3 linked regions of the Neodiprion lecontei genome follow. The protein of the gene in region 1 interacts with the protein of each later gene in a pairwise test. Links are inferred from orthologs where the notes say so. Each region holds a gene or a part of one and is shown on either strand. Other genes may lie near its edges. The genes, in order: protein draper, tyrosine-protein kinase Shark and thioredoxin domain-containing protein 5 homolog.

The links.
Region 2: the proteins of protein draper (region 1) and tyrosine-protein kinase Shark interact in binary tests that used the Drosophila melanogaster proteins (3 or more experiments, as listed by UniProt). The link is inferred for Neodiprion lecontei from reciprocal best matches to the Drosophila melanogaster genes drpr and Shark.
Region 3: the proteins of protein draper (region 1) and thioredoxin domain-containing protein 5 homolog interact in binary tests that used the Drosophila melanogaster proteins (3 or more experiments, as listed by UniProt). The link is inferred for Neodiprion lecontei from reciprocal best matches to the Drosophila melanogaster genes drpr and prtp.

The regions. Positions count from the first base shown.
Region 1 is NC_060263.1:18,481,670-18,491,275, reverse strand, and holds the start of protein draper, read right to left. Parts: upstream 6,485-9,606; 5' UTR 6,211-6,484; intron 1-6,210. UniProt on the Drosophila melanogaster protein: Receptor which is involved in the phagocytosis of a variety of cells including apoptotic cells, severed and pruned axons, degenerating dendrites, salivary gland cells, germline cells and bacteria.
Region 2 is NC_060262.1:186,409-199,361, reverse strand, and holds tyrosine-protein kinase Shark, read right to left. Parts: upstream 8,987-12,953; 5' UTR 8,902-8,986; coding exon 8,826-8,901; intron 7,762-8,825; coding exon 7,624-7,761; intron 7,504-7,623; coding exon 7,340-7,503; intron 7,258-7,339; coding exon 7,072-7,257; intron 6,724-7,071; coding exon 6,639-6,723; intron 6,513-6,638; coding exon 6,354-6,512; intron 6,270-6,353; coding exon 6,064-6,269; intron 5,929-6,063; coding exon 5,764-5,928; intron 5,683-5,763; coding exon 5,475-5,682; intron 5,389-5,474; coding exon 5,141-5,388; intron 5,050-5,140; coding exon 4,941-5,049; intron 4,862-4,940; coding exon 4,693-4,861; intron 4,517-4,692; coding exon 4,390-4,516; intron 4,312-4,389; coding exon 4,114-4,311; 3' UTR 3,603-4,113; downstream 1-3,602. Other genes in the region: uncharacterized protein LOC124293234, read left to right, coding at 9,831-10,343, 12,021-12,163, 12,312-12,377. UniProt on the Drosophila melanogaster protein: Following axon injury, required for recruitment of drpr and glial cells to severed axons and for glial clearance of severed axons from the central nervous system.
Region 3 is NC_060260.1:10,938,473-10,949,633, reverse strand, and holds thioredoxin domain-containing protein 5 homolog, read right to left. Parts: upstream 6,492-11,161; 5' UTR 6,336-6,491; intron 6,124-6,335; 5' UTR 6,054-6,123; coding exon 5,896-6,053; intron 5,180-5,895; coding exon 5,030-5,179; intron 4,824-5,029; coding exon 4,715-4,823; intron 4,634-4,714; coding exon 4,343-4,633; intron 4,217-4,342; coding exon 3,755-4,216; 3' UTR 2,861-3,754; downstream 1-2,860. Other genes in the region: protein dissatisfaction, read left to right, coding at 33-286; uncharacterized protein LOC124294844, read left to right, coding at 8,993-9,176, 9,283-9,456, 9,731-9,912, 10,612-10,617. UniProt on the Drosophila melanogaster protein: Possesses thioredoxin activity. Acts as a ligand for Drpr and is required for the phagocytosis of apoptotic cells. Binds to the extracellular region of Drpr and augments Drpr tyrosine phosphorylation.

The sequences.
Region 1 (9,606 bases):
GATCGAACCGCGCTTAAGTTAAGGATTATGGGAATAGAATATCAGATATTCCCGATCTAATAATTTGAGCATCTTGATTGTAGCGAAAAATATTTTTTTAGCCTAATGAAAATCGATTTTAATTCTATATCAAACGTTCCATTAATTGATAGACAAATATTTATTAGGTTTAAGAAGTTCAATTCAAGTATGTTATTAAAAATTAAACTGTACGAGTATAACAATTCAATGTTCTGATTTAAATAAATTTATAGATTTAATCACGTACAAATTTAAATGAAACAAACCACAGTTCGAAACTATTCAACTGAATAGCAATTCTTAGCTATATCCAGGGGATTCTAATGCGTTTGTTTCGCAATAATTCGTTGTACGTATGTTATACAATAAATATACAATTCCTTTCGATTATTACGAACTGGGTTGCAAAATAAAGCTAACAATATGAAAAAAGAAAATGGTCTACAAGAAGGTAAAATTCTATATGTACGTAAAATACAAAAGTTGTGCAAGGTATTTACGGCTGCATACCATAATAAATACATGTATATGTATGCGAGCAACTTAAACGAATTGCATAACGATGCTAGTTGCGTTATTATAAGCCGCAGTTGTGGTCAACTATTTTCTATCACACTTTGTTTCAGTTGTAATATTCGCAATCGGTATTACAAAGCTATGATTAGAGGAAGTTTTTTGAATGAAATGTTTAGTATACCTGTTCAACGATAGTGTATGAACCAAAAGTATTTTGTTTGTTGATTTAATTCGATTCAATATGCAGGAAGGATATATCGCGTGACTAATGCCAAAAGGGCGTATAAAAATTGTACGCCCTTTTGGCTTTTCAAAACCAAAAGGGCGTATAATTTTTTTTTTTTGTGCCAATCGTTTTGTCAATATATTCTAAGCCTAAAAATGAAAAAAAAATTTTCAAAGCCAAAAGGGCGTATATCTCAAGTTATAAAGCCAAAAGGGCGTATTATTTTTTTGATAATAATTTCTAATTTATTCCTTACTCAATAATATGCAATTTTTATTCAAAATTTTGAAAAATCTTGATTTTTTTTATACGCCCTTTTGGCTTTAGGCCGGCAATTTCCTAAAGCCAAAAGGGCATATATCTTGAGATACGCCCTTTTGGCGTTAGTACATCTAAAAATTTTTTTTTGCAGATCTTTACGTTTCGAGTGATTTTAAGTCGAATGGCAAAAAAAAATTTTTTTATACGCCCTTTTGGCATGGATCCCTATCTAACTGCTGTAGTACGCCCTTTTGGCATTAGTCACGCGATATAAATTCCCTTCATCGATTGGACGGATGTTAAATTATTATTCAGGAATAGATTATAAGTAATTGAATCATCATGTTTTGCGGGATTAAATTATTATATTCCATTCAATCTATATTAAATTAAAATAGATCGAAGCTACATAAAAATAAGCAGAGAATCTTAGACTCGACTTGGAGGTTCTCTTAGTTTTATACGTTGCAGTTCCACAAATGGAGCAGCTGCATACAATGATGTAATGATAAAAACAGTGAATATAATATCCAAGAGATGTTGGAAGAAAGAGAAAAAGAAATGAAAGAAAAAAAATTAACCGCAAAGAATGCAACTTGGAAAGTTTGATTTTAATGACCGTATTGTTTTTTCAGAGAAAAAATGCAATAAAATTCACAGACATTTTTCCGAACGACTAAATTTCGTGGCAACAATTTTTTGTTCACGTACAAGTGTGTATAATGTGCATAAAAATTATTATTTACATATACATACATTTATTTATACATACCATTGTGTATTACGAAAGTTTTATTCACATGGAAAGTTCACCGCGATGATGTTGCGGGTAAATGCAGGATAATATTGATATAACGCATATTGTTTATAGTTTGAACTGCGGAGATAAAATACAACGGTACACGAAAAAACAATCTGTTCAAACAGGAAAATAAATTGATGAGATTCGAAAGAAACGAATGAATCAACAAATTTATTTGGAGAGAAGAAGACGATAGTTTTGTTTCTCTGGAAGTTTTTTTTTCATTGTGTGACTACACGTAGCAAGGTAAAAATGTTTATATATACCGACCATTTGAGAATATCCCAATTATTGAAAACCATAATAAGATCAATTATAAGAAATAAAAGAATTTATGACTTAGAAACTATTTTATTCGGTGGTTCGATTTCATAATCGATATAATTACTTTACTTCATCACTGATATTATATCGCTTGTAAAGATCGTTGCGGATTTTCCTGATTCACGCATAGATAAACAATAACAAAACATTATAATAATCAATAAGAAAAAAAAAGAAAAAAAAAAAACGAAATGTGATAGACTGTTAATCGCTTCTATGAGAAGTAACCGTTGTCTTTAAATTAGGAACATCGTCATGGAATTCGTGGAGTGATATCGACATTCAACGTTTTATCTACAAACCATTTGAAGAAAGTATTTTCGATAAAGACTAGTCGAACCTTATCTCAAATTTGAAGCGAAGAATAATTTGCTGTATAGTTGAATTATTACTGCAACGAATTTTTTCACGCAGGCTAAAAAGTATTAAGTAGTGTTTAAAAGGCGGAAGATTATTTCAATGATTAAAAAAAGCTCCATGCACACTTGGAGGAAATTCCAGTGGATTAGATACGTTACAGTAATGTTGATAAACTAATATATCTAGATGCATTCAAAAATATTTTTTAAGTAATTCAGCATTTACGATAAGAGTGCGGGAAAAATATTCTTTGAACTCCTGAGTAATTAATCTCTTTTTGGCTCATCGCAAAATTTCTATCTCAATTACGTCAAATTATTACACGGTACGTCGATATTATATTTATGACCACACTAATCAAGAAATTAGCGAATATTTATTCGTCATAAAAACTGTCTCATTAGTTTGACATTTTACATGCTGAATAGTCCGATAAGTAATTCCAAGCATTCCCAGTGTCGATTAGACAGTGAACTTCGACCCAGTGATATTTTCGGGATACTTTAGCGTGTGACTATAATAAGCTTACGCTGTGGGGATAAAATGCATAGTAATTTTGTCACGCGGGCTTGTCATTTATTATTTATTGTTGCCGATGTCTATTTTACACAGTGTGTAATCACAGCGAAAAACAATAAAAAACAGAAATTAAAATAGAAAGAGTAATCTGTGACTGAAGTCAGTCAAGTTGTATTTAATCAAAGCAAAGAGTTTCTTTCGTACCGAAAAATTAGGTTTTGAATCCGACGAATTTTAAATGATAAAAAAGGCCAATTATTGTATAATAATCTCAGAGCGATCGGGTTGTTTTAATATATATATGTATTATTTCGAAATGAGATAAACAGGCATAGGTCGTACGATTTTAATTAATTTCAATGCAATTTGTTGGTGTATGAATTCTTCGCAGATTAACATAAATATACTGGACGCATGACAATATTAAAAAAATATATCAGCTGATTTGTACAGAACTTATTCACGCAAAAAATTTGTCATTATTGTATCCCAAGGAATACGCCTTTAACCCAAATAAAACGTAACATAATTAGTTATTAATTAAGGTCATGGAGAGGAAGCGAAATTTGATATAAATTGTGACTCCTATGCACAAAATTGGGAAAAATAATACGAAATGATCTCCAAAACTCGTGTAAATTTTCTGAACGATCGATCTCGCACTAGTTTACAAGCTTTTCAATTACACAAGGACGGCTTTTTGGTACAAAAAACTCCGATCACAAATCGGGACTATTTTCAATAAACGTAGTAAAGTATCCTCTCTTATTTAACTCTTTCACCACTAAGAATTGAATATTTCATTTGAATGTACGATTTTGAATTACTTTTATTCATCACTTTAAGGATCAATAAAATTCGTCTCGATCTGCAATTCGAGGATCACTTTTTGAATCTTGATTTCAGCGCGGATTTGTTTTATTCGACAATTTAATGGACTGCGCGATGTTTGATATATCCTACATCGGATTGATTGATCAATTGGCTTTGCTGCACTTTAGAGTCACGACAGGAACGAAACAAAAGAGAAAGAAACAGAATAACGACCTCGAATCTCGTCGAAGTGACGCAGAGGAAAAGTGAGCTCGGTGAATATTCTGAGCGAAGGTCAGAACCGCCTCCTTCTTTTCCATCTTACTCGCGATGTCGTTTAATTGAAGATCAGAAGCTGAGCACGAGGAAGAGAGACCAGAAGAAGAAAGAATAAAAACGGTATATACCTTGTGTCAACCTCATCATCGTTATTTTTTTCTCATACGCCGCAGTTTGTTTTTTTAATCGTGGAACATTACAATAATAACCTTTTATCATTGTGTTTCCTTCCACACTCTCGCAGTTAAAGTGCAATGCGCTCAATCGCTTGCAACATCATAAATTAATTATCTCTGAATTGTCTGTTGCGCAATTGCAATATATATATGTATAATGTATATATACCACTTTCGCTATGTGCTGGGTAAAAATGAAACAAAATTTATAAAACAAAGAATGAATTAATAATTCTTTGCAAACAAAAACAAAACCGGATTAACTACAATCGGTTTCTAGACAATGTATAAGGTATACGTAATGAACTAATAACGCAGAAGAAATTGAAAATGACTTGCGTTGATACGAACTATTCAGTGATAAATCTAATATCTCTAATATAATCTTCTGATGTTTACACTTCACGTAACGTAATAATGATCGCAGTCCGTACGTTGGATGGTGTGTCGATAAATATATTTCTTTCAAATCGTGGTTGTGCAATTAAGTTTACGGTGAAAATGAGCAATTGTCGTCGTTTGTCCAATTTTAGCGTTTTTCAGAATTGAAATAACTATATGAAGAACAATAAATTATACGGTAATTTAATTTCTCTAATATGATGGATAATTACGAAGTTGAAGTTAGTAGCAAAATTTTATATTACAATTTCAAGCGGCTCTGTTGTGAAATCGTGACACAGTGACGTTTCTAAAATATGCTTTGGGTTATTACAGTTCACTGAATTTCAAAAGATCCTAAAATTTTGAAATAACAATTTTTCTATGAATACACGGAGAGAAAAAAATCATTGAAATAACTATATTTGTGGTCACGGGCGACGAAGTAAATATCTACATATTTGTGTCAATTCTAGATTTATTAGTCCAACAAAATTTGGTTGAAATCAACTAAACGTGTTGGTATGGTTACAAAATAATGTTATTAGCTTCAACCTCGACCATAAATTGAAATATTTTGTTGAAACTCGTTGGTTCCAAATTGGTTTCGAAATCAAATAGGTCATCGAAGGTTTGAACGAAATTTGACTTCCTATACTTTCTCTCATCGTTTCTGACATTCTGAGCATTTGTGGGCCACATCAGCACCGGGTTACCCTAATGAAAATTTCTACTACTACTACTACTACGAATTTTTCCAGAATTTGGAACATTTCGTGTCATTTCGTGTACAAAATTGTAAGCATGCATAGTTTTTCACAAATAATTGTTGACTTTCTTTAAAAATCGTAGTATCTTGTAGATTTTCAGTGAAAAAATACAAATTTTCATGATAATTTAGGCGTATTTACAATTTTTCGTACAAATTCATGCGATGCGATCCAATTTCCCTAAAAATTCGTAAAAAATCGTAGAAATCATTTTCACCAGAATAGCGTTTCCTCGCGTCATTGCGACGCGAGAGGTAGACTCAACTTGTCAGAACAGTGCGAACCACCTGCGGCTTCAAGCCAGTGGTTCAACCGCGTCGTGCGTAACAACGACCTTCGTCTCACCGTATAGAAAGAGAAAGAATGACGGAGATCGAGAGAAGCGAGTCAGTCACGTGACAATAATGATACTTAAAACACGGCGATCGTCATCTCTCAAAGCGTTCGGCCGGGATGAAAACAAAAAACGGCTGCATTCCGCACGCTTCGCGCGGTGTTCCAGGCCCTCGAACGAGGGCACAAAGAACCGACGAGGGGGCAACGCACCGCGTCACAATCTGGTACCAGAAACTAGATTCCACAACCACTGTCGGGGGACGAAAGAGGGATGGGGGGAGAAAGAGAGGCGATTATACGTTGCAATCTCTCTTTCTCTTTCTCTCTCTGCCACAGCGGCAGTTGTAACGGTTCATTAATACCGCAGCCCGAAGCTGGGATGCCAGCAACGAAGATCAGAACGAGGACACTTGGATAAACACTTACATTACTTGTTGAGGGGTAAATCCGTTCCAAGGGCTCTCGGTTTCCCTACTTTGCACTGGATCTTGAAATCGGTGGCGTTCGATTCACTGCGGTATCTCAGAATGCAATCGGCGGATCTGATCGCTCACCAAAAAACACTCACGCACTGCACTACAAAGCTCACTTTCGGTTATTTCCACTTTTTCACTGTTTATCGACTATCGCTGATATATCCCGCACCAAACTTTCTGCAGAGGAGGATCTAGCCGCACTGAATCGAAACAAATTCTCGAGCGTCCCTCGGTCAGAGCGAATAGTTTCACACGTATCCGCTGGTGGCGCTGGCGATGTAACTTTTTCCGTCTGGCGGCTCTCTCGGAGAACTTCAAACGAACTTCGATGCCAGTTATCGCGTGTAGATCGAACCTCTCGAGACAAGGTAAGGATAGGCATCTGTTGTACCGACGCTACGAATGTTCGCCGTGGTTGTGAAATTGGATTCGTCTGATTTAATTGCAAAACTTATAATTGTTAAAGACTTTCTTCTAACGTAATGCTTATTCATTTTAATTGTAATTTTATAATTATACTGGTTTTTCGATTTACTTTTTGGTATGCGATTCACATTCTACTCTGCTTCCACTACCACTATTTTTCGACTTAATCGATAGAAACACCAGAATATTCAATTTTTGAAGACGCGAACATCAATTTTTTAGCATCTTTACAAGAGTAGAAAGTCAAAGTATAGAATATTAAAAATGTAGAAAGTTAACGTACCGAAACAAAAAAATTGTATCTCCAGAATTCTGCTATACTCTCATTCAATCTGACGATTCTATATTTTGGCTTTATATACTTGGTGTTTCTTACAGTTTCATTTTAATATAATTCAAATTTGTGCATTATAAAAGGTGGACAAAATAAGTTTTTGCATTCTTGAAAATTCGTTATTCTTACCATCTACATATTTGACGATCTTTTTACGTTTTCACTCTCGTCCTTTCTCTCGTACTTTCAGAACAAAAATCAGTGACTAGTCAATAATATTAATAAATTACAGTAAAGCTACGTTATTAGTGTAAAATGAAACCACAGTAGATCTTAATTTTCAGTTTTCTTTTTTCTCTCTTCAATTATTTCACTTCGTTACCTTTCTCTGATAACTAATTCCCGATCACTCTATTTTCATAGGTTAAGAATTTCTGTTAAATTCAGTGCATGACTCAAATCAGATATCACTTTCCTTATTTCTTTATTTTGCCAGCATTATTCAAGTGCAATTGGAATGGGTCGAAACTTTGCGCCTGACTGCACGGAATTTGCAGCTCTAACGTGTATCTGTAGTTGCGATATCAGGCGCTCAAGGTTACGTTATTCAAGCTTTCCAGGAGCGATGGCGCCACAGAATGGATCAAAGCATGCTGTGACCTTACGGGCAGCTTGCACACTATTTTTACCACTCCGTGGCGGTAGTGAGTATAAATTCAAAAAAAAATATTCACGGTATCATTTCCTAATGCAATGAGCCCGATTTTACCAATTTATTTTCTTTTTCAACTGACAATTTAAAAAGAATACATCCATACTGAATTTTAAATTGTTTTTAAATTATATCGTCTCAAAAATTGTGAGATTTAAATATCGTTCTTTTAAATTTAAAGATCAGATATCAGAATACCGAAAAATACGCGTCACAATGGCTTTAACGTGACTGTAGAATTTCCGTTCCCAATACAGAGATTTTATCGTTCAACTTCGATGTCATTGTTAGTCAAAAGAATAATATTTAAGACTGACTATTTTAAAATGATTTGAGATTTCACGTGCATGGGGGGGGGGGGGGGGGGGGATAAACTTGTGAAATCAGTTTATATTATTACAAATCGATTCGGACATACCTCATATACTGACATAGGGTTGTTCTTATTTAGAGTGACAGCTAATTTTTTCCGAGCTGCTCTCCAAATCAACCTTCAATAATTCAAAAACAATTGCCTAATTTTTTCAGATTTTTATCTCAACTCTAAAATCTCCCGCCATCAGGGTGCGTTTCTCCATTTAAAGTACACGTGTTTCAGACACATTGTCAGTACAAATATATTTTATTGTAAGAGTAATAATGTTCAAAAACATCTGAAGCAGCGAGGTTTTAGTGGACATTAGTGCTACTATTTGAAAAAAGTACACATCATCTTACCATACAATCTCAACGAATTGAACACTTTCGAAATCTGAATTTATTCTATTTGGATTAAGTGCAAATTCGTCTAGATTACCGGGTATGATGGTGTGAATTTTTTCTCAAATAGTACCACTAATGCCCGCTAAAACCTCGCAGTCACACATTTTTTTGAACATTATTAATCTTACAGTAAAATATATACTAACAATGTATCCGAAACACGCGTATTTCAAATAGGGAAATCCTTCCTCTTGTAGACACGTGTTAGAGTTGAGCTAAAATTCTGAAAACCTTTGAGAATTATTTAAAGTTGATTTGGGGGGGGGGGGGGGCGGTCTAGAGAAAAATCCTCACTACCTCAACAACCCTATTACAAAATACATCGATCCCTGCAGTAAAAAACATGAAATAAACTTTCAAGACTTACGATTAAGCAGCATATTGCAACAAGCCGTTGGCATTAACCCCTGCGACGAATTTCATCAAACTCACAAATGTATAATTCATATAACCGTTTTTATGTCGTATACGTATGTATATATGTATATCGAATATGCAACTACATACGTATACAGAGGAAATTTTCTCATGCGCTTTCGCGTGCGCATGAAACGAGCTGCGAAGCTTTCTCCCTTTCTCTCTCTCTCTCTCTCTCTCTTTCTCTCTCTCCCCGAGATAAACAGCCGGGCAGTAATTGCGAGCGAGGAACGATACCATATTTCATACGCAGTATAAGCCATAACTTAGGAGGCAATTACCGTGAGTACGTCATTTATCATCCGGTCCCCCGCCGAACCCCCTTGGAAACCGCGCCGGGCGACGCTCGGGGTTTGAGTTGGGGGTGATTGCGAGGGGTGGCAGAACAACCGGTCTACGGAAACGGGGGCGGAAAAGTAGCCGACAACAAGGCGCTGTTCGATCATAAGCCGTGAATAAAGTTGGAGTTCTTATGAATGTAAATACTAAACTGTTTCAGATTGGATATTATAAGTATTTTTATTTATCTTTTTTTTTTCCCTTTTGCTGGAACGTGATCCAAATCTCAGCTTCTGCTGAAATAGGATGTTCAAGAGGCGCTTCACGCCGCGTGGCTCATTAGCGTTTTGATAAACACGACATAAAAATACAGTAAAAATTTTACACAACGATTGTGTAGCACGAGGTTTGACAGTTGTGTTGGCTTTGTTGGATATGCGTAATATCAAATTCTATTTTGCTAATATCTGGTTTCT
Region 2 (12,953 bases), on another chromosome or scaffold:
AAAACCGCACACACACACAAACACACACCAAAATGCATTAATTTATGAAGAATAACATGTATATCAAAGTTTCATAGGTCATACGTGCAAGTCATGCTTTTGAAATCTGTCACGTTGAGATCATTGAAACAGAACTTCTGTATTCTACCCTTGGAGCTGTTTTCATTAGAACCTGTCAATATAATCATAAAAAATACAATTTCCGCTTTTGTTTTTCTTTTTTTATATCTTATTCCATGTTAACGTTTATCAGTCAACTCAAGTTCATACTTGAAAAATGATACCAATTTATATAAATTGGGAAAAATAAAAAAGAGTTATGATAAGAAGGAAATCCATGAAACTTTCATATTCAGCCATGTTTGTTGCCCCATCTACCTCAAGCTTATAAATCAGAGGTTAAAAGTCTAATAAAAACAATGACATAAAGTCTAAAAAGTTGTCCGTCAATATTTCTGTATCTATTGAAATGCATATTTAATATCAGTCATACAAGCTGTATGACTTTGTTTCTTCTTTTCGTCAACTTCTACCTGTACACGATGTCCTAAGAAAGAAAATAAAATGAACAATTCCGATTTGGACTTGTGAGGAAAACAAAACTGTCAAAGTTTGAATTTCAAGAAAATAATGGGTAGCACAGGGTTGGTGGGTCTAACAAACTTTTAAATGTATGCAATTCGTTAATTTTCACCTTTAGGTTTTGAATGTATGAACGACTACGTAGATTTTGAACAACTGCATTTCATTCAACTGCAAGCAGGATATTGACATTTCCATTCAGTTATTTTGCTCCCCAATGAGCAAAATATCGGTTTTGTTGAATAATTGAGTCAAGATCTCTATAAACCATAAAAGGAGGGTTCCGTCTCATCGATTGATTTTCACAAATTCCAACCTGTTGTCAGTACATGCTATACATATACGTTATTAAATCAAATTCTTCATGTGATTATAATAATAATAATTTCATAAGTGAGAGAATTAACGTATTGTAAATAAGGTTAGGGTATATTATTATAATATGATCATTATTTATTTTTTATCGCATTATTATTTTTTAAGTAAGAGAACGTAAATTGTAAACATATATGTATACACTATATGTATACATTATATGCTTATAATACGACTATTGTTTTGCGCAGGCATTCTTGCATATTGATATGAAAATTTGAACTTCGATCTTTTATGCAAGCAAACATGACATATATATTCAAAAGCATTTTTTTTTTATATTCATTCAATACTTTCATTTATCTTATTTCGTCAACCTAATTGTAAGCTTTAATTAATTAATCATTAACTATGCTTGGTGTCAATAATGACAATGACGTTATTTAAAATTTATAATGTAAAGAAAGTTTCGGATTACCGTACCAACTACTTATATTTATCATTTTGTATGTGAAAGCCTGTGCATAAAAATTTATATTAGAGCAAAGATCGAACTGTTGTTGCAGCGTACCGTTATTTGATTTTATTTATTTTCTTTTTGTTTGATTGAAATATTTATGACCTCTTTCTTTTGCTCTTGTATATAATTTGTATATATGAACATGTAATATATAAATCACCTAAGTAGGTACATTACAACGTCACACTATTCTACCTTTTATACAAATTTAATTACATACACAAAATTCTGCTTTTCTGTCAAATGTATAATTTAAAAAGCAAGAACAAAATAAAACAGGGAAAGAACACCGCATATGAAACAGCATCCGATTACACGTCGAGAGATAAAATACGTGTAACGATTATCGATAACTACATGCATAAATGTGTCCGGTACTGTTCGCGGTTAGACGAATTGTCAAGTTTTCTCTAACAATTAAAGTTAAACAAAATATGTTCATTTCAACACGAATTTTAAAAGTATAATAAATGTTATGTAGATTTTACACTATGACGAAACTTCATTTCAGAATCCTACTCGTCTTTTACTTATGTCAATTTTCCATATCATTATTTCGCTGACCTTCGCTACAGCTAAAAGATCTCTTGAAGTCTTACTTAAATATTATAATTATAAGATTCAGTATTACATTCATCGTTGCATGCTTTTAAATAGCTTGCCAGCGTTATTTACTCTACAGGATCAACATCTCGCAAGATTGAAGTTAGTAACGTTATCGTAATGAAACATTGGGAAAATAATCACTATTGTCTTAATTTTACAATGATTTTTAAGGAACTAAGATTTCTTAATACGGGTGTTTTATTTTATTACGATTTATTGAATTTCAGATAATTGCAAAATCGCGAAATACAGGTCTTTCTTCAGCATGAATCGTTACGATAACGTTACTAACTTAAGTATGATAAGATCTCGTCATTAGAATGTCGGAGCGTTCTTGATTAATCGGAGCTTCAGGTACACTCCGTATTCGAAAAAATTTGCTGGCAATCATTTCATTTGGCTCTGTTCAGCGAACGAGGCCGACTTTCGAGGATGACATACGTCGTCTAGTTAATCGTTCACGTATGTAGACGGATAAGAGGCATAAGCAGTTACGAATCATGCGACTTACCGGAGTCGTAACTCGTCGATGATCCTGCATCCTCAACTCCATGATATTCCGTAATCCATGCGTAATCCATAAATTCACATTATCATTTCACTTCACGCACACTAGCAAAAACTAAACCTGGACTTGTTCTTTTGTCTCTTTTATACAGGCGAACAGAAACAAAGCACTGTCGATATGACGCGGCAGAATCCCGCCGAAAGTGAATCGTTGCAAGGTTCAGTCAATAGATAGGTCGATACCTAGATTATTTTTATCATTACTCACATGCAGTTAATGCTCATTTGCATAAAAACCGCCTATCATCAACCTCACAATTACCCTCAGTAGCAAATCTCTGAAAAATGACGAAAATTAACTCGGAATCGAGTCGTAAAATAAAGATTACCACGTTATCGGTCGATCATTCTAATAATTTTTTCCGAATTCGGTCGTTACGCAGCGAACGCGTACACAAGATGTATCCTTCAGGTGCCTTCAAAACGTCATAAACCCTTCAATACAATAGAATCCGATATTTCGTAGACAAACATTGTCGGAAAGATGTCTTATTACCCCCGAAAAAGATCCGAGATCGTTGTATTGCGCAACTCTTTCACGATTCGAAAACTCTCATCACATGCACTTTAGTCACACCAACCACCCAAAACTTGTGTATTAACTCAACTAACGATTTTTTACACAGTATTTCACGTGGACCTGACTATAACCATTTTTATACACATACAATTAAGGATTTACAGCGAAGCGGACAGGGAAGACGTAATGCCCGGGTGTCGGCTACACCAACACTGATTTCAAACTACATTCGATGCAACAGTGTTTTGTTTAACGTTTCTTCCTTCGATATATCGTTCGGCCGAGTTGAGACGCATCAATCCGCAACTTCTCTCCAATGAATTCAAACTTCAACAGTTCAACCATGAATCAGACATACGTATAAAAATAATTACCTCACCCTAGCTCTAATCGTTGACTGGCTGTAATTGAACTGATACATTTCATTTAATTTCCTTGGGATGATGGATACACTGTCGAATGAAACAATACAAATCAGAAAATCGATCAAGATGGCCGAGAAACAGTCTTTTATTTTACAAATTTTGTAAAATATTTAGATGAATACCATCAATTAGCAATTTCTCGCTTTTTTTAACAATTCCTTGTTTTTTTTTTTCCAAACGGCCAACTTCACTTTGAAATAAGTTAGCACTTGTTATTAAATTTATATTTTCAGCAATACCACTATCGCTTTCAACTTAATTTATAATTCGAGAAAGACTCATTTGAATACAAAGATTACAGTCTTAAAGAAAGTATAGAAAATTTCAGGTCTTATATGGTATAATGTGTACAAAGTTAAAAAATCGTCTAGTAATCGTCAGATTACGTATCTTATTATTTACAAAACTATTACACGTCTGATAGATCGTCTGAATTAAACGCTTACCATTTTTATAACTGCGTGGTCTCATATTTTACTGCAAAATCGACCTATTGTCGTATAATATAATTAATATAACGTTAAAAATACGTAGGGCTAAAATAAAATATACTAATTTCTTCCGCAAACATGTTGAAATCAGCTGATATCGACAGCGGCAATAAGCTCTTTGATGTTAGTGTACTCGGGATCACTGCTAAATATTTCCAAGAGTTCGGCAAAGTTCGGGCGATCCACGGCTGAGTATGACCAGCAGCGTTTCATTACCGTGTAAATATGCTCCGGACATTTATCCGGTTTTTCAAGACGTTCGCCATTCTCGACCAGTTGAATTACCTACAACCATGGAGAAAGTAATAGTCACATCAATTTTCTTGAACGATCCTTTTTATCGGTTAATGAAAGTAAACTTACATCTACTCCGCGTCGATCTCCGTACGGCTGATCTCCGTAAGAAAACATTTCCCACAGCGTAACCCCAAAACTCCATACATCGCTTGCGTTAGAAAATGTACCGAAGTTGTATGATTCCGGGGCATACCTGGTGATGGTCAAAATTTCAAAGAATTGAGATCAAAGGTGAAAAACTGGTGATCAATATTTTATATTTCAGTAGAAATAATAAATACAGATACACGAGTGACCATATCGTCATCATCGTCCAATGACTTTTGGCACATATTTGTATGTGTAAGGCATCAGAATTTTAAGAGTTACCACTTTATTGGCCATTTTCCACCCTCGCTAGCTCTGTAGTAATCGTTGGAACCAAACGTTCGTGAAAGTCCAAAGTCACTGATCTTGGCTTGATGTCTGGAAGCAAGTAGAATATTTCGTGCAGCCAAATCCCTATGCACAAGTCGGAGTTCCTCCACGTACTTCATACCTGAAAGAATACTATAGCGTTTAAAAGTTGAAACACCAACTGGTCGACAATTATACCAGTGAAAAATGCGTTTCCTCACCACAAGCAATCTGCGATGCCCATATTTTCAGTTCGTAGTTCGGGTTTACTCGGTCGGGAAATTCTAGAAGATATGCCAGCATTGAGCCGAGTGGAACTAATTCTTGAACCTGAAATACAGGTAAAATTGTTTCCACAACTTGCTAGTGCTACAGATATCAGGTACAAATTAATCAAAAATTTAAATACATTCAATTATACCATGAGCAAGGGTGGTCCTAAGGAAAGCCCGATGAGCCTGACTATGCAATGATGGTTGAGAGACATCATAACGCGCGCCTCTCTCAGAAATTCGGCACGAGTGGCTTCGCTGTGAGATTCGTGAAGTGTCTTGATTGCAACTGGTTCCCGAACACCTGTCGGAGCATCATACACTCCTTCGTAGACTGATCCGAATTCACCTTCGCCAAGGACGCCTCCAAGGATCAAATTTTCTCCCGGAATGAACTCTGCGAATATAAATTCACTTGAATGCATTGGAATACATTGCTGTATGCGAAAAAAACTACGATCCAATCACTGAAATATGCATTACCTTGGATTTCCCGTGCTTCTGAATTCAAATTAGCATCAAAGTTTGTCTCATTAGCCGTGACTGGGATATTGTAAGATGAAGATTCGTCAATGTCAAGATTTTGAACAGAGTCAGGCTGAGTTGAAAAAGATGTGGTCTCTAGTAGTGTTGCATCTCTAGAAAATTTGCCTCTCTTAGCCGTTGACTGTCTCGATTTATTGAGTGTGTTCTATCAAAGAAAACATATTTTCACGAACGAAGAGACAATACAAAACGCCTGCACGCTCTTCCTCAGTTAATTTCTACTCACCCCATTAAATATAGACGAAGGCATTTCAGGAACCGGTGGTCTTGGTATTGGAGCAATAGGATGAAGCAGAGGCCCAGGGAGGCCATCGGGCATACACTGATAATATTCTACGACGTGTTCCAGGGAAACGAGGTAGGGGCCATTATCAATAAACAACAAGTCCCCCTGTACTAATGCAATAGAACATTAAAATAACGTGAAGAATGAAAATGGGCGAAAACACAAGCCAAGGTTACATCTAAAACTGCGTAATGATAAATACTTTAAGAATACAATGTACGTGCAATAAGCATGGCTGACCTTTCTTTGTATTTGGAAATGGTACGCTTGCTTGTGGTACATAACTGTGAGTACGTAACCACCGCGGTGACGATCGCTAAACCGAACTAAAAATGATCCGTCAACGTCACCATGTTTGTGTAAAAGAGCGACTGCCTCGGTTCTATCTAGTGTTCCGTGGTACCAATTGCAGCGTTTTTCTTTTGGAGCAGGTCCCTGATAATCGCCTGAAGAAAATAAGCGGTAACCAAATAATTTATGGCTAACATTGTTGACTTTTAAATATTTCTCACAATACCCTAACAACTTACACAACAGCTTTGCACATTCCACATGACCGTTTCGCTTAGCAAGATCAGCCGGTATATCATCTTCCATAGTGCGAGGATTGACAGGCGCGTTCATGGAAAGTAATACTTGTATCACCGTATTGTGTCCCCTACTAGCTGCTTCATGCAGAGGAACCATACCTGAAAAATATGCTAATAGAGTGGAGTATTTCGATCTTTCTATACTTATTTTATGAACAAAACCGTTCTGATCAGTGTTATCGAATAGTCAATGAAGTATTTAGTATACATGCCACCAGGACTTACCTGTCTTTGTGTTTCTTGCCTGAATATTTGCTCCACCCGTTATTAGTATTCGAACGGTACTTGGTAAATTACTTTGACATGCATACTGAAACGCAACACAAAAAAGAAACCAAGAGTAACAACGTGAGAACACAAAATAATGAACCAGGTGATTTGGAAAACTATCGAAAACGAACATCAAGTACTGAGTGTATAATGACACAAACTAAAAATCACAATACCAATATGAAATTTATTGAACAAGAGGTAAAGTGTGAATATTCACAAAGGTACAGTGTAAAAATGTATAATAACTATCTTGGGATGGTAAGAATCGTTAATAATTCTTATCAAAATTGTGACGGAAATGAAACATGTAAGGGTGACAACAGCTCTACAGATGAAAAAAAAAAAAAAAACAATCAAATCCCACTCCACATTATTTCAGACTCACGTGTAGGGGTGTATAGCCAGCAGAATCCCTGCAATTAACGCTGGCTTTATTTTGAATCAGTTTTCGAAGAATTTCATCCGCTCCGTTCATTGCTGCTAAATGTACAGCAGTTTGACCCAGTTGATTTTTGGCATCCAGACTTCTATACCCGCACTTCAGCAGCTCTGAGACTATAGTGTAATTTCTCTGTACGGAATTTATAGAAGTGTTCAATATCATCGACAAGCACTGATAAATGAATAAACTAGTAGTAGCTAGTTAATTCTACCTGAACAGTCGCTCTGTGAAGAAGGTTCGTTCGTCCATGCCGCCTGGTATCGTGGGGTGGCGGTTTACCAATGCGAGGGTTGCGCAAAACCGTTTCAAGACCATGATGACTATCTTGATAATATTCGATCAGAGTATCCAACCCATGAATTGTTGTTTCATCATCTGTTGGTGTTTCATAAAAAATTAACCAAACTGCGACAAAAATTATAAGAATACATATGGAATGTGTAAATCGGTAGGTAGATAATCTTTACGATTGTCGAGTCGCAGCATGTTACTTACCTATTGAGAAAAAAGCATCCTCCTCATGTTTCCTAATTTGATAATGAATCACTTCACCATTGTGGAGAACAGATAAGACGTAATCCCCCAAGGACGAGCTACTGTTTCTTACTAAAAATGTGCCATCCTCTGTTCCTTCTGAAAAATTAATATTATCAGAAAAGGGATAAGCACAAGACAACTTCTTTTTTCTTCTTTCACTATTATTCCAATTTCAATAACCATTAACACATTATTACAGTTAAAACTTCAAATCACACAAAAGGATTTTATAAAAACAAACAAAGTTGATACACTGTACTTTTTATTGAATCTCTCAAAAAAATATCTCTTTAAACACTTACTATGATTTATAATATACAAAGAGGTGCAAATCATTACGAGGTTCGATACTGACACATAGAATAAATGGAATAAAAGATGTTCAGTGTTCACGGAACAACAGGACGCCAAATGATGACCATAAATCACCAGTAAATTAACTAAGGTACCATATGCAAAAAGTACAATTACAACATCTATCGATTTCAATACAACAAATTGCTAAATTCTCTAAATGGCATCACTGAGAGTGTACGTACATGCGAGTGTTGAAAAATTGTTTACAAACTTGGTTAGAAAATTGACTCAGTGGCAAGGGGTATTTTCAAACAAATTTTGTTGATAACTACACATGGATAACCATGAAGTATATGACATTAGGTCGGAAGCTTACAAAGTCGAAGCCGTCTCAACCAAGTCTGACATTAGTGTTTCCGAGCTTTGGTACTCTGGGTATGTTTCAAGACGCCGAAAAGCTAGACATTTTTCACAAGCTGCAAGTGAAATTTGAACGTAAGAAAATAAGACAGAGATTATAAAACACACTGGGTCTCGTCCCTTCTGTTAAAAATGTTTCGAGACGAGCAGTAAAGTATCAAACATTCAACAAAACAGGTTAGAAGAATAAAATATATATATTAAGTTGCGTGAGTTTAGTTGAGGAGCAAATAAATAATATCCTGATTCTGAATTACGTTGAAACAATAGTGTAACATGGAAGATAAAATGGCCAAAGAGCATTGTTGTGACATATCCAAGGAGGGCGATCGATGATGCAAATCGATGCAAATCACTATCCGTTAAATGCCGAGTAACGTTTTACGCACGTAGGCATAAAAACGTATGCACACTTAATAATCCACAAATAAATTCCGCATTACCTTCCTTCAACATATTTTCCGCATCTTGACGAGAAAGATCTCCGTGATACCACGCTATGTTTTCCTCGCTGCCCATTCTTAGGGTGTTTTCCAAGTACAATAATACTACACACACGCATGCACGAACGACGGACACAATATGATGTTCATTAATTCATAACGCAGTTCGTGTAGTGTTACGACGGTGGTAATATACAAACTGACAAACGATCCGTTCAAATATAATACATACGTAGCGTGAACGGTAACATTTTACACCAGTTGTCCAGTGATTCATCGAAGTAACAATGATTAATTTGATATTTCAGTTTCGATACTCATGAACCTCATGAACAAGTAACGTCGCGTTTATCCAACACAGTCCATAGGTATGAACTGGTATGAACGTGACTACTGCCAGCCAGTTAACACTCTGAAGGCTGAAGGAATCTGTATGTATGCACGAAGGTATGCACGCGGGTGTGTAAGAATACGCAAATGCGTCCGTACAGTCTATGAAGGCTTACTTCGTGCCTACGTGAAGTAGCCTTTGACCTTCGAATTACTTGAAAACTTTCTACGCCAAAAATTGCTACCGATGCTATTATTTATTACTCACTTCTACTCGGTTTTCGAGATAGGAAAATTTGATAATTGCTACTAATTGCTCCTGAATCGCTAGTAAACGCTCCGCAAATCTCGTAATTTGATCTCTCATAGTTTTCGAGAAAACTGGGACAAGAAGGAGAGACTGGCTTGGAAGTTACGTCCAAGAGCGGCGGATTCGAAATAGTATCCGGAACAAATTATGTTGATTCGGTCCAATCGACAATCGCATCTCAAGTTGCTCCTCGATTTCTTTTCAATTATCTACCAATTTCGTCATATGCTCCCTCACAGTTTATAGAAATGTCGGCAAAACGGCACGAACTCGTCGCGTGGCAGAGGGTTGGCTGGGCTGAGTTCAGAAGCCTTACCCGAGTGAACTCGGTGGAACTCGGATATCATACTGTCTCTGTCTAACACATGAGATTAAACAAAGACGCAGCGATACTGAGTCACTCGAGTAAGGTTTCTGAACTCAGCCCTGAAGTTCTAGCGGGTCGGCTGGATGTTATTAGCAGTGTTGCCAACGCGGATTGCCGTAATCCCGCCAAAAACCGTTGGACTCGTCTGAATTATTTCCCATCAAAAATCACCGGACCAGCTACGTTTTCGGCCAAAAAGAAACACCACACTTCGAAAACCGAATTTGACAAAGCGATCAAGAGGCGTACATACAACCCAACTAAAAGGAAAACGACCAGATTTAGCGGGAATACCACCAGGTTGGCAACACTGCTCTGTCGTTCTTCTTTGGTTCTTACCACGTCCTTACTTACATCGGGGTCGTATTTCAAATTTCTGCAAATTGCGTTCGGACGAGCTTGTAAAAATATAACAATCAATATGTTATTTGAACATCTGGGGCGACCCATTAAATTCCATCTAGTGAACGTGAGTGATAAAGAAAAACTTGAATTAAGCCGGCTCATAACGGTGAGTGTGTTTTGCGTAATACAAAATTCAATAATAAATTCAAATGTTCAGCAAAAATTGAGCATCATGTTGCAGTTCCCAAGTAACTTTTCCCCGTACAGCGTCGTAGCTCATTATTTTGACTTGTCCAAATCAACACTTGACTCGATACAGAAATCTCCTCAAATTCGCAACCGTCAGATTATATAAACTTTCTACAACAGTAATTATCGTACAACAAGCACATCTTGGACATTCGGAATTATTTTGAAATATGTTCAGCTTCAACAGTTTCTTCTGCAATTGTCACATAAATTTAACCTTCACAAATGAATCCGAGGAACAGTTTCCAGTCAGCGATTACGTTCATCGGTCAATGATCATTTGCAATTTTAGTCCCAAACTTCAATTAGTTCTAAGATATGTCGGAGGACCCTTTGGAACTCACCGCATCAAAACAATGATAGAAACGCTTTGGCATTGGTAATAGCAAACCGTAATCTTCCATCAAGGAGCTTTCCCTGAATCTGAGCAAGCTACTTGTAGATGACAGACACTGATTTCTGGACCAACGTGAAATCTGTTGTGTATCATTTAATTGTTAAGAATAATCACGTTTATAGTCTATTTGGAAGTCTAAATTTCTAACACGTAATGGAATTTATTGAGGATACATTGCGAATCTTTCTGTTCTAAATGTTGTAATTTTGATGCAATTTTAATGTTTTTGTAATCATTTTGCTCGTTGATCTGATCCCTATGAGTTGATGTACAAATTATGCTGGAGAACATTAGAATCAGATCAAAAACATGAGAGTTTAACCATTTAGAAAGATCCAATTATAAAACATTTTCTCAATTTGGTGGTACGTTAGCTTGTGTTGGCTAAAGTTGCTCGGATTTAATTCTCTTACTTAGTCAGAGTGTTGTTTTATTCGTGTTTACCATCATCGGCACAAATAATGTTGCTGGAGATATTTTAATTAGTTTGTGAAACGTATATAATTTTTGAACTACTGGTAAATTCGAAAAATTAACGACGGAGCCAGGAATCGAACCTGGTATCTAGCGATGCTTTACCGGAGCCTTACTCCACTAGACCACCTAGCCGCCTTAATCTCTCTCTTAAGGCGGCTAGGTGGTCTAGTGGAGTAAGGCTCCGGTAAAGCATCGCTAGATACCAGGTTCGATTCCTGGCTCCGTCGTTAATTTTTCGAATTTACCAGTAGTTCAAAAATTATATACGTTTCACAAAATGAAAATTACCTCGTGATTAATATTAATATTGATGATGCATATCCGCATTTCAATATTATAATATCAGACGGTCATTGACTGTCTTACGAGCTTCGCACCAAGAAGCGTAAGTTACCAAAATGTAAACACACTTACAGACACTCTTACAATTGTGCTCGAAGAGGAAGAACACTTTCTATATCCACATTTTAATTAGTCTTTTTTCTTTTCCTAATTATTAATTTGATTCATCCAGTCAACACATCCTTATGAATGCATTGTTTGAATTGTTTATACAAGAGTCCTTGCACTTTTCTTATGATCCTCAAAGAGCCTCCAGAAAGGGACATTTTTTTCCTGTTTTTATCAGTTACAACCAAATTCAAATAACAATGAATACAGTTTTAGATCACCTGCAGTGTACTTTTCTTAAATCATGCTTCAAGAATAACAATGTTTCAGGCCAATGGAGGAGTCGTATCTGAAGACTCATTGATAAAATTTACTATCAGAAATCCTCATGTAGGAAACGAGGAAGTATATCATGTGAATTTCATACACAATTGCGTGAAGCAAAACAAGATCTTGGACATAACGAAATATAGGTAAAATAACTAATACTGAATAATTTGTTTTTTCCAAATCCAAGTTCCATTTTTATCCTTTCCAAGAATAGTCAATGCATGCAAACTGTCTTTTCGGTACAGTTTCCTCATACAACTTGTACATTTTCTATTATGTTGCATAATCTAGGCACGGAGCCATGGGGATTGGGTGTCCAATGAGCCAGTTCTTGAGAGGAAGCACATCCTGCATGGTGTAAGTTGCTATGGGGCAGTTTTTTTTTACATAGTCAACGGTTTTTGAGTACAATCATAAAGTGGAGTGCCTATTGTATTTGTTACACTGAAAAACGTTGCTACGAAAAAAAAAAAAAATCTCACATATACATTTCAACGCATTCACCGACCTTTTCTACCATTTTCCAATAACGCTGAAAATGTTGCACTCTGAATTACGTGAAAACGACTTCATCGATTTGGATAAAAGTTGAATGAAAAATCGAGCATTGACTAGAGACGATCCGTGCAATTTTCTAAACCTTTAGGACTTCTGGTTTTTGCATAGCAAGTTTTTCAAATTTGTAAGCATTATTTCATATAACTAGTAAATTCCAGTGAAATAGTTCGACAAATTTCAATGAAGTTTTCATGATAAATCAAGTATTTGGTAGAGTGTTGGAAAGTCTTGAAACTCATACCAAGTCTTGTTACATACGGAGCAGTAGTTCATACCATTTTGACCTGGGTCTGAACTTTGACCTCTCGGATTGGGCCCGCGATTTTTGATATGATTTTTCTCACTTGGAAAGCACTCCGTAACTTTTTTTAGACT
Region 3 (11,161 bases), on another chromosome or scaffold:
AAAATTGTGATTGTGGTTTTTGGACTTTCTAGAAACCAGGGGACTTCACGAGGGGCAACCGGTCCAGATGCTTCAAGACCAGGCCCAGTGCATTTTGGGAGATTACGTGAGATCGCGATATCCTCGTCAGCCAACAAGATTCGGGAGGCTGCTGCTCCTGCTCCCGAGTTTGAGGGCTGTAAATCCTTCGACCGTCGAACTCTTGTTCTTCCGAGAAACGATCGGGGAAATACCGATCGCTCGTCTGCTCGGCGATATGTACCAAATGGAGAGATACTCGAATTGAAAGTACCTAATCGTATTTCATAGAAAATCTGACGTGGCCAGAGGACTACTTTGACGTGTTTTTATATACTAACAATATTAAGTATTATGTTATTTTCTGTTTATCCCGCGATAAGATTGGCTATTACCCATATTCAGATAATATTGGGCTCTCTTATAGGTAAAATGTACATATAGGTATATGTATGTTTTATTGTAGTCGATGTGTGAAGGATCATTGGTCGAACAATAATTCACCGAAGACTGTCGATCCATCCCACGATGAAACGTTATAGCTGTAAAGAATGTAGGTGTAAAGTTTCATGCAAACTGTGAATAACAGCTGTCAGCAGAACGATAATGTGTCTCCGTTACTGTAATACGTGACGAAGTACAGTCTGCGAGTTTCGTTAAATAACCGCTAAAGAGAAATTTGAAAAGAAACTTAGAATGTATCAGAAGAATTAAGAAGAACTGTAATATTCAAGTGATTGAGTCATACGCAAAACTGAATGTAGGTATATGGAGGCAATTTTTAATACAGTGATATGAAAAAAAAAACAGCACCTCATCTCATTACAGAAGATAATTAGACTTATTTCTCTTAAATATTCGTTGTAAAATTGTGCGGAAGATATTTTGACCAGAGGATCTGTGCTCTAATTGTCGTATACCAAGTACACATATAGCTGCATATATTTATTGACACTTTTTTCAACAATCTGTTACGTTTATCCACATAAAGAAAAAATTTATATTTAATTTGTTCCTATTTGCACTCTCTGGTGCAAATAACGGAGAAATAGAAAAAAAAAAGAAGAAATTCATACAATCGGATCACGATGAGCGCTGTCAATATCTGGTATTATAAATCTAAATTTTAATTATCCATACATACCAACAATTATGAAATACACATTCTTGTCAATATAGTACTGACTTTTGCAATAGTGGGTCTGAAGATGATTATAAATTACGTCAAGTATGTTCATCATCACCTCAAACCCTCAAAATGAGTATCTTGTCTATCGAAACGAAAGAAAACGGACAAAAATACGTGAAACGATAAGACTATACAAGAGGAAAAGTTCAACATTGCTGCTGCATTGCCTTTCTTGTCAAAAAATTAAGTAAAATGCAAAAATCTCATGCTCGTGTTCGAATCATTTCGATATATAAGAGACGAATCACGGTATAGTTTATGCACGGACTTGCTATATTGCCACAGCTATGGGGATATGTTGCATCTTATCTTATCTTCGTGTCCGCCCAGTTATGACGGCTACGTATGGATTTGATAATTCGAAAGCAAATCGGTCGCACCATCCCTATCAATCGTTAAAACTCATTAATCTTTACGCTATAATGGCCTGTAATATATGTATCGTTGTTCATTTGGTTACAATGTTTTTTCAATCGTTTGAAAAATATTCTCACTTTCTTATTCGCTTACATTTGTAAAACACTTGGGAAATGTCGGGCAGATGTAATATATGGGTAATATTTATCGTGAAAATTGAATTGAGAATTTTTCATGCAGTATTATAGTATTATAATATATAGATATACAGTATTATATATCTAGGTGTATGTATGAAAGTTCGTTAGCAAAGTATTTTAGCGATTTCCCAACTGTGATACGTCATGCAACCCCTTTCATTCGTCGTGTGCAATAAGAGTAACGAAAAAAAGAAATAATGTATGAATAATAATGATTAATACCCGTAAGTATCAATGAGCGGTAATTGATTATATAGTCGGGATTCATGTGATTATACATAATATCGAAGGAAAGTTGACACAAATCGAGCAAACGTACTTTATTTATATCGCTTATTGCCGCATCTGTGCACTTTTACTTGTGTACGCATTCCACTAACTATAAGCACACTGTTGTTCTTCGTTGAATATTATTAAACTAGGTTTCACACCGGTTGTACAAAGTTCCGAGTAAAGTTTTCACAAATTTTGGCCGAAATCAGCGAAAGCAAACTTCAAAAGGTACGACAAAATTTGTTTATAAATTAGTCTTGATGTCAAGTGTAACGTTTGTCGATATTTCCAGGAATACGTCCCGAAACGGCGTTCTCAAATCTTCTGAATTTCTCTCTTATCACTGTTTAACTCCCTAAATTGAAATAAAATTAACTATAATATATTCAAAATGCGAGATAACTGTTTCTTCAATAACTCGTAAGTTTATTCATACGGAACATTAATCGTTCATCGTGACACGAAGACTGTAAACGGTAAATCTCGATAAACGACGGTAAATTGAATAAAATTTACGTTACTTAATAATACATACATACAATGTTACGTGTACATACTGTAAAGTAGCTGTAAAATGTTTCTGCTGTAAATCGGAACAATGTGTATAAATGTATTACGTATTCATATACATATGATATAATATACATGCTTACTATTATCTTAAGGCGATTCAATTCCCGATTATGATTATGCGCTATTCATTCGGTTCGGGAAACAGAAAATAATAAATAAATGCAAGAAACGTATGAATCAAGTGCGAACACTTGGCAGTAAAAATATGTCTTAGGGTATTGTTAGATGTGTTAATAACAAAGACACACTGTTTAATTTCGAACCATTTTAATAATCCACTCAACATAGGCGATCATTTACAAAACACAATATTTATACTCAGTATTCATTTCACGTTTTTACAAATGTACATTACAGGCTCACTTGTAATGCTTACCAACTAATCATAAGTATGTATAAAGTTTAAAAGGAATAATTCAACAGTTTCTTTTGGAGTATGTGAATCGAAACTGCTGCATGCACATTATGACATAAGTTGGACAACGGAAGCTCAACATCTTACCTCAAACAAACGACTTCAACTCTGACTAAAAATGGATACTAGTTGTTCATTTTAAATGCTCTGCAAACTTTTCCTACGTCCGATGCTGACGCAAGAATAGAAGCTAATCTTATCAGCTGATTGCGATTTATCGGATTTCTAAGAATATTAATTAATATAACTCAAGGAAACAAAATATTTTACATTTAATAATACAAGTTTTGTTTATTTCAAGTGACATAATCATGTAGAACCATAGAAATTGAAGACCAGAATTAATGTACGAGTTTACCATTTCAACTTGGTTCTCCTCTAATAACGTCTCTTCGCATTGTAGCGAATTGTGTCTCCAGTTCTCATTCTCACCCATTATGGTATGGGCTGGTTCTGTTTCAATTTCTTGGCAAGCTTTCGCTTGATAATAAGTGTCTTGTGAGTCGACATGTGTCGGTAGCTCCAACAAAACGCCTTACTAATACGATACATTATGGAAGATTGCCATGAAACAAGTTTGAAAAATTATATGAAAATTTTTTTAAAAAGTAGAAACTATCATTCAGATCAATTACGCGAGCCGGTTTCATTTACGGATCAAAAACCGCTCGTAAGCTCCCTCCGATAAAAACCGTAAGTACCAACATGCGTTTTAGTTAGAACACATGATCACAGTTCGTCGCGGGACTGTATATGATTCATAACGAATTCGTAAAGATCGTCCAATGTACGCGATCCGTTGTACTCGGACAATTTTCGGCCGTCCTTGTACAGGAAGAGAGTTGGAAAGCCATCCACTTCCTGGTCGTTACACAGTTGTTTGCTACTGTTCATTGTACAGTCGACCTTTACTATGTGCACATTTTCGTTTGCCCAGAATTTTTTTCCAAGCTCTTCCCACGTCGGGGCTAGACGCTTGCAGTGTCCGCACCACGGTGCGAAAAACTTGATGAATGTTACACCCTTCTCAATACCGTTCTTGAAACTCTCACCAGTCAACGTGAACACCGCGTCCGACGGACCGCCAGACTCTTTCTTTTCCTCGTCATTACTCTCCGCGTTCTTGCCCAGCATCATCGACACGTAAGTCTTCAACTCCTCGTGAGATCTCTGCCCCGTGTATTTATCAATCTGAGAAGTGAAAAAGCATTTTAAGAGGTATGGTCAATACTTATTGTACCACTTGAATAAATCATAAAAATTTCGATAAATGCTCATCGCGATTGAATTCGATATTAGCTGTGACATAAAACTTACCTTTTTACCGTCTTCAATCCACAACAGAGTCGGGTAGCCTTTAATGTCGAATTGGCCACAAACTGAGCGATGCTGGGTGCAGTCCACTTTAGAGATACTAACGAGGTCGCCATGAGCGAAGCTGTTCGCAAGCTCATCCCAAGTGGGTGCTAACTTTTGGCAATGTCCGCACCATGGTGCGTAGAATTTAACAAAATGCTTTCCACTGGATACGTGTTTGTCAAACGTATATTCGGACAGTTCCAATAGTCCGTTCACAGGCTGCGGTACAGCTGGTTCGCTGTTCTCTTCCTGCGATATAAAATTACCTGATAAATAGTCAGAATTTTTGAAGATCGTATTACCGATAAAATATAGAGCAGTAATACTAACAACTGGAACGCTTCCGATTTGCTCATTGATGAATGTTGTCAGGGTGGGTAAGTCTCGAGTCCCACGGAACTTGATACCTTTGCTTCCGCCAGCTTTGAAGAACTTGAGACTGAAGATAAATGCAGGTAGTTATATGAGGTTATGGAATTTCCAACTAGTTGGTAATTTACAAGGAAAAATATAGATGAAAGTAGTTTAATGACCCTGAATTTCGAAACATTGAACAATTCAACTGAAGCTACAAGTTTCTTTGCTTCTAAAAGGAAAAAAATTGGCGAGACTCAATCGGGTTGAAGAAAAATTGATAATTATTACGTTGGGTATCCAGTCACATCATTATCCGAACAGACAGTTGCATCAACGGTACAATCGACTTTTGCAATTCGAACTTGACCATCGTCAATTCCATTGAGCATTTCAGCTAATTGTTCCCACGTCGGTGCGAGTCGCTGGCAGTGTCCACACCTAATAAATAACAGAATATTTTCGTTCTATGTATGACGTGTTTATTAAGACTTACATACCCCTAGTCATTTTCAACAAATTTTGTAATTTTTTCTCTATATTTTGAGGATAATTCAACACTTGTTTGAATGAAGTATTTGATAAATTTAGAGAGTCGAATTTCCTTGAATAATGCACTGCTAAATATAGGTTGAAATATCAAATCTTAAAGCCATTTTCACAGGAATTGTGTTTCTTAAAACTTTGGGGCAGGTTACTTGAGACCTCTAGTGGAGATTGAATCTGAATTTGAACTGTACATTTGTGATATTATCTGTTCATCTGTGGCTCTCAGGTTTCAAAATCATATGGCCAAGTTTCATTTACTTTAAGAATTTATTTAACATTTGTTTCGGTTACTACCATTTCATCATTTCTTATAAAATCTCATCCTTCATATTATAAACATACTGATGCTACTATTTTTCATTTTTTTCTTTCTTAAATAATTGTGTCTCTGAAAATCACATACTCAAATAAACTACAAACACAGAGATTTGAAATATCCATAATATTGACAGCGAAAAAAAACTTAGTGGAATCAGCCACACTTATTTCGGTGTCCCGGGATATGCATCAACATTATACTTGTAATGAGTGTAATGACAATTGAAATATTATGAATTATAAACTATATATTTCGTGTTCGCTTGTGTGTCCAAAATTTTTTGACTTACCAAGGTGCGTAAAACATGACAAAATGATCTTTCTTGGCTATCTCGACAGGGAAGGTTTCCGCCGAATATTGAAGAGTGTGGACGTCATCGTCGTGAGCAATGACCTCGCTTTGATATGTTGAAATTGTGACAAGAAGTGCGATGATTTTAAGAAGCATAGTTACGAGTGTCTGTGATTCGCTTTAATTTAATCGCTGATAAATCAAACAATCGTTGTTCACTGATTTTCTGAAAGAAAACAAAAAACCAATCGTCGTGTTGTTATCAGTTACTGAGAACCAAGAGAAGATGCGGGCAAATTTGCGTGAATAAAAAAAATCGGCGAAATTTGACAAAACTTCCAGTTTTATCAAATTAAGGTTAGCTAACTAAAGCGCGATTTCTACTTATGAGGAAACAAAATCTTCCCGCAGCTTGTTATTTAGCGTAATATTTTATACTTTTGTCGAGGGAATTACTCAGGGGGAGGTGCAGTCTTGATATCGAAGTGTAACACTTTCTCGCAAGAACACGTTACCTCTCGCCGACCGATCGAAAACACACAAACCTCCAATCCGCCCACCGGGTACGAGACAGCGTACCGCGGGATGACACTGCGCCTGATTAGAAACGACTCTTACTCCACCTGGCGGTGAATCGGAATACTGAAGTTTAAAACATGGGCGGGAATGTTTGTCAATTCCGTCGCGTGACCGATTTGGGAGTTTCTACGAGAGTACACCGCATTCTTTCGTGAAATATAGATTCAATTAGAAATTTTTGGTCGTATGACCGTTTTGGTATTTGAGAGTGCGCTGCGGTCGGCTAGTGAACATAAGATTTCATGTCGATTAGTTAAGTAGTTATATGCGAATATAACTTTAAAGCTTCCCTCGCAGCGAAATTGATGGATGAAAAATCTGTACGATATTAATTCAGTCCGGGCTGATTATGAGTAAAGCGCACTAACCGACAGTTAGTGAGCTTACGTGGACTATATTGAGGATTTTTGTTTTGGTCCAGATAAAAAGTGAGGCTAACTCTTTTTGATTTTTGGTAAAAATTTTGAGATTCTGAAAAGTGCTGGCGTTGACTGAAGAACATAAAGACTGATGGTAACCCTGGGTAAATTTTTGTGACCAGTTTTCGGGGGGCAAGTGGGCCCAAGTGGGCCTGGGAGCGTAGGAGGGTTCTGCTCTATCGAGTCTACTTAACGAGCTCGCACTCAAGGAGGATGCCTCCTTGATCGCACTGACATTCATAGCAGCCAAAGTAGTGTCGATATGAAAGCTTGAGATTGATTCGACACAAAGAGACTACTTGTCGACTGCGACTTAAAAATGTCGATCAGCTCGATAATCCCCGTGACAAGAAGCGTGACCGCGTCCACCGCAAACCACCCCGAACTACTACCGAGCACCATCAACCACCGCCGACCACCTCGGATCACCTTCGCCCTCGTCCACCTCGGCCATTTCCCCCACCTCCTCCTCCAGCCCCACGTCGTCCTCGTCGTCGGCGTCCTCATCGACCGCCATCAATCATCTCCAACCACTACCAAACACCTCCGACAATCTCTTACCACCACCAAACACCTCCTACCATCTTAATCCACCTCCTACCACCTCCTACTGCCACCAACCACCTCCTACCAGCGCCTACCACCTCCTGCCATTTCCGGACACCGCCAACCACCTCCGAGCACCACCGACCACTTTCGTTCTCCTCGTCCCCCTCCACGTCATCCGCCGACCGCTCGTCTTCGTCGTCCTCGTCGACCACGACCGATCACCGTCATACACCTCCAAACGCTTCCTACGTTGACTGAAGAATAAAAATACAGTTGCCCCAATGGGCTTTGGTGGGACAACCGAAAGTCGTCGTGCGCTTGCGCTTCCCGAGATGTTCCATCGGTAGAGTTGAGAACTTATTGCAGAACATCAGAGAATTACCGATTTCGACATGATGCTGGCTGCATTCACCTTCCGAGTAACACAGTCTTCGCAATGGTGAGCCCAAGCCAGTACTTGGCTTGTGTATACTAACCGACTTGTCGGCGATACAAGAAATTAATAATCAGAATAGATTTCGTCCAAAATTCGTAGCAAGACGGTGATTTAATTGAAGTATAGGTACCCGAGGGAAGAATGTATACATAGATCATAAATAATAATAGATCAGATGTAATAAAGATGCAGAGACCAGAAAATATACAGTATATGCGGTCCATGTACGATATTACTATATATATGATCCAGTAACAATTAATACGTAATGCATACTATAAATTTTATGATTTTCCAGGATACAAACTAGATTACATACAATAATACGGCTATGATATGATAACAAAAGAATTGTTCATTTCGAAATGGGATTCTATTCGACACGCGCTCGATGTATTCCATTTGCTCTCTCGATCTTGAATTTTCATAGGCACAGCATGGAAACGTTGTTTTAACTAGTCGTAAATGAACTATCTACATTTGGTAAGAAAAAAATTCGGAGTAACTGCATGACATCAGGAATGCGCTAATTTTAATTGAAATGAAATGGATGCTCCGCAAACGAGACAGTATTTAACGCAGTGTGCTGATTTGAAGACCTAAAAAGGTGAATGTCGGAGATTTTTTTTTTTGATGGGGGGAGATTGAACGGAGCTTCTTAAAACTTCAAGTGTATTTTAACACACATTTGAAAGGTGCGAGCAAAAATTTTTATCATGCAACAGTAGCAGAAAGGCAGCGTTATCAGCTGACCCGTTAACTGAAGGATATATCTTCAGTCAACGGCTGACCATCGAAGGGCCTGGCCGCTTGAGTCTGGAATCGGCAGGAGAGATAAAGTGCGAATTTCTTGTTTGAAATGTGAAAACTAAAATCATTATACATCATATCATATCATCATACACCATACATCATACATCATCATCCATCATACGTCATATCATACATAGTACTGAAGTTCGTAATCCAAGGTTGCATGTTCGGATATTCCGATGTTCAGAAAGTGACGTCACCTGAAATTTTTTTTTGTCTTTACGTCATCCATCTATACAGACGAAAATCAGCTAGCCGAATTCTTCAGTCCGGAAACAATCGCGCAATAGAGCGGACGGATGAGAATCGCGCTCCGCAAATTTCGAGTACTGGGTTCTGTACCAGCTGGATCCTGCCCTCCGGGTCCGCTTTCTGGTGCAACTCGAGTTCCAGGACAAGCGCTCCGTAGTTCCTGCGCTCAAAGTCCACTACCTGGTGAAACTGGACTTCCAGGACAAGCGCTTCATGGTTCCTGTGGAGCACGTACAATACCTGGTGAAACTCGACTTCCAGAACAAGCGTTCCGTAGTTCTGGCTGTCCAGGTCCATGACCTGGTGACTTTTGACCTTCACAACTAATTTTCCGTAGTTTTCCAGTTTTTCGTAGCTCTCCATTGTTCCTGCGCTACAGGTCCACTACCTGGTGTAACTCGACTTCCAGGACACGCGCTCCGTGGTTCCTGCGCTCCAAGTCCGCTATCTGGTGCAACTCGACTTCAGGGACAAGCGCTCAGTAGTTTTCGCGCGCCGGGTCCACTACCTGGTGAAACTCGATTTCTAGAACAAGCGCTCCGTAGTTCTGACTGTCCAGGTCCTTGGCCTGGTGACTACTGACCTTCAGGACTAATTTTCAAGTTTACAAGTTTGATTATTGCAAACGTCATGTTTTGTACCATCAAACCAATATTCATGCTTCGGATTACATTTTGAATCGGGATAATAACCGTACGACCACGATAAACAAATTGCAATTGCAATTTGGCATTCATCCTTACACAATATTTTTGATGTGTTTTAATACTGGAAATATTGATTAGTATTCGAGGATAACCCGAGGTGGGTAGCGGTGGTCGTTGGATGTGTTTGGAAATGGTCGGAGGTGGTGGGAGGGGGTTGGGGCTGGTTGCGGGTGATCGAGATAGATGAGGAGGAGACCGAGGAGCAGGACGGGGAAGATGAGAAGAACAAGGTGGACGAGGATGACGAGGATTTGTGCACTGTGAGTATAACATTTTTATAATATTTAACGGAGTGGGAGTAGGATCAGGAGTAGAAGTAGAAGTAGGAGTGGGATCAGGATCGAGAGTAAGAGTGGAAGTAGGATCACGAGTAGTACCAGGATTAGGACCAGGAGTAGGATCAGGAGTAGGATCAGAAGTGGGAGTGGGATCAAGAAGATACGTAGGATCAGGATCTGAAGTGGAACCAGGAGTAGGACGAGGAGTAGGAGTAGGATCAGATGTAGGATCAGGAGAGGGATCAGAAGTGGGACCAGAAGTGGGGTCAGGAGTCAAATCAGGAGTAGGATCTGAAGTAGGATCAGAAGTAGTAAGTACCAGGAGTAGGATTAGGAGTAGGACCATGAGTAGGATCACGAGTAGGATCAAAGTGGAAGTGGGACCGGGAGTAGGAGTAGGATCAACTATTTTCATGTAAACCAGTAACAAAAAGCTATGTTTCTATTTCTGCACGGTGAGTATAACGTTTTTCTAATATTTAATACCAATTGTAACTATACTTTATCTGAAATTTTTTAAACTTGTCACGTTTACAATAAATTATTTCAATTTAGTTTTCGCGCAAGCGCATATTCAGTAGCTTCAAATGCGCTGATAAAATTTATATTAATCAATTATATTGATCCTTACAGAATATTTTCGATGTGTTCTTATACTGAAAATATTTATTACTATTCAAGGTATAACTCGAGGTGGTTAGCGGTGGTCGTTGGAGGTGAATTGGTAGTGGTCGGACGTGGGCGAAGATTTGTGCTCGGTGAGTTTAACATTTTGATAATATTTAATGGCAAGTTTAATTATGTTGTATCTAAAATTTTTCAAACCTGTCATGTTTAAAATTTATTTCAATTCATTTTTCGCGCAAGCACAATAGTAGCTATAAATGCGCTGATAAAATTTATTATATGATTGAATAATCAATTAATTATATCAATCCTTACACAATATTTTTGATGTATTCTCATACTAAAACTTTCTGTAAGAGAGGTTGAAGATTTTTAATATAATTATGTTTCAGTTCTGTGCCCCACCTACTGATCCACTAGTACATATCCTCCGACGTGACATCGCTCTGCTACGTATAAAGAAGAAAAGATTTATTAAGATGCAAATTGCTCCTCTCTTCTTGCCATTGTGCTTTCAGCCATTGTTGTGCTGTGTGTTTAAAATTTAGGACAGTATATAGTATAGAATAACAGGTACAGCTACGAATATAGCACTACAATAAAT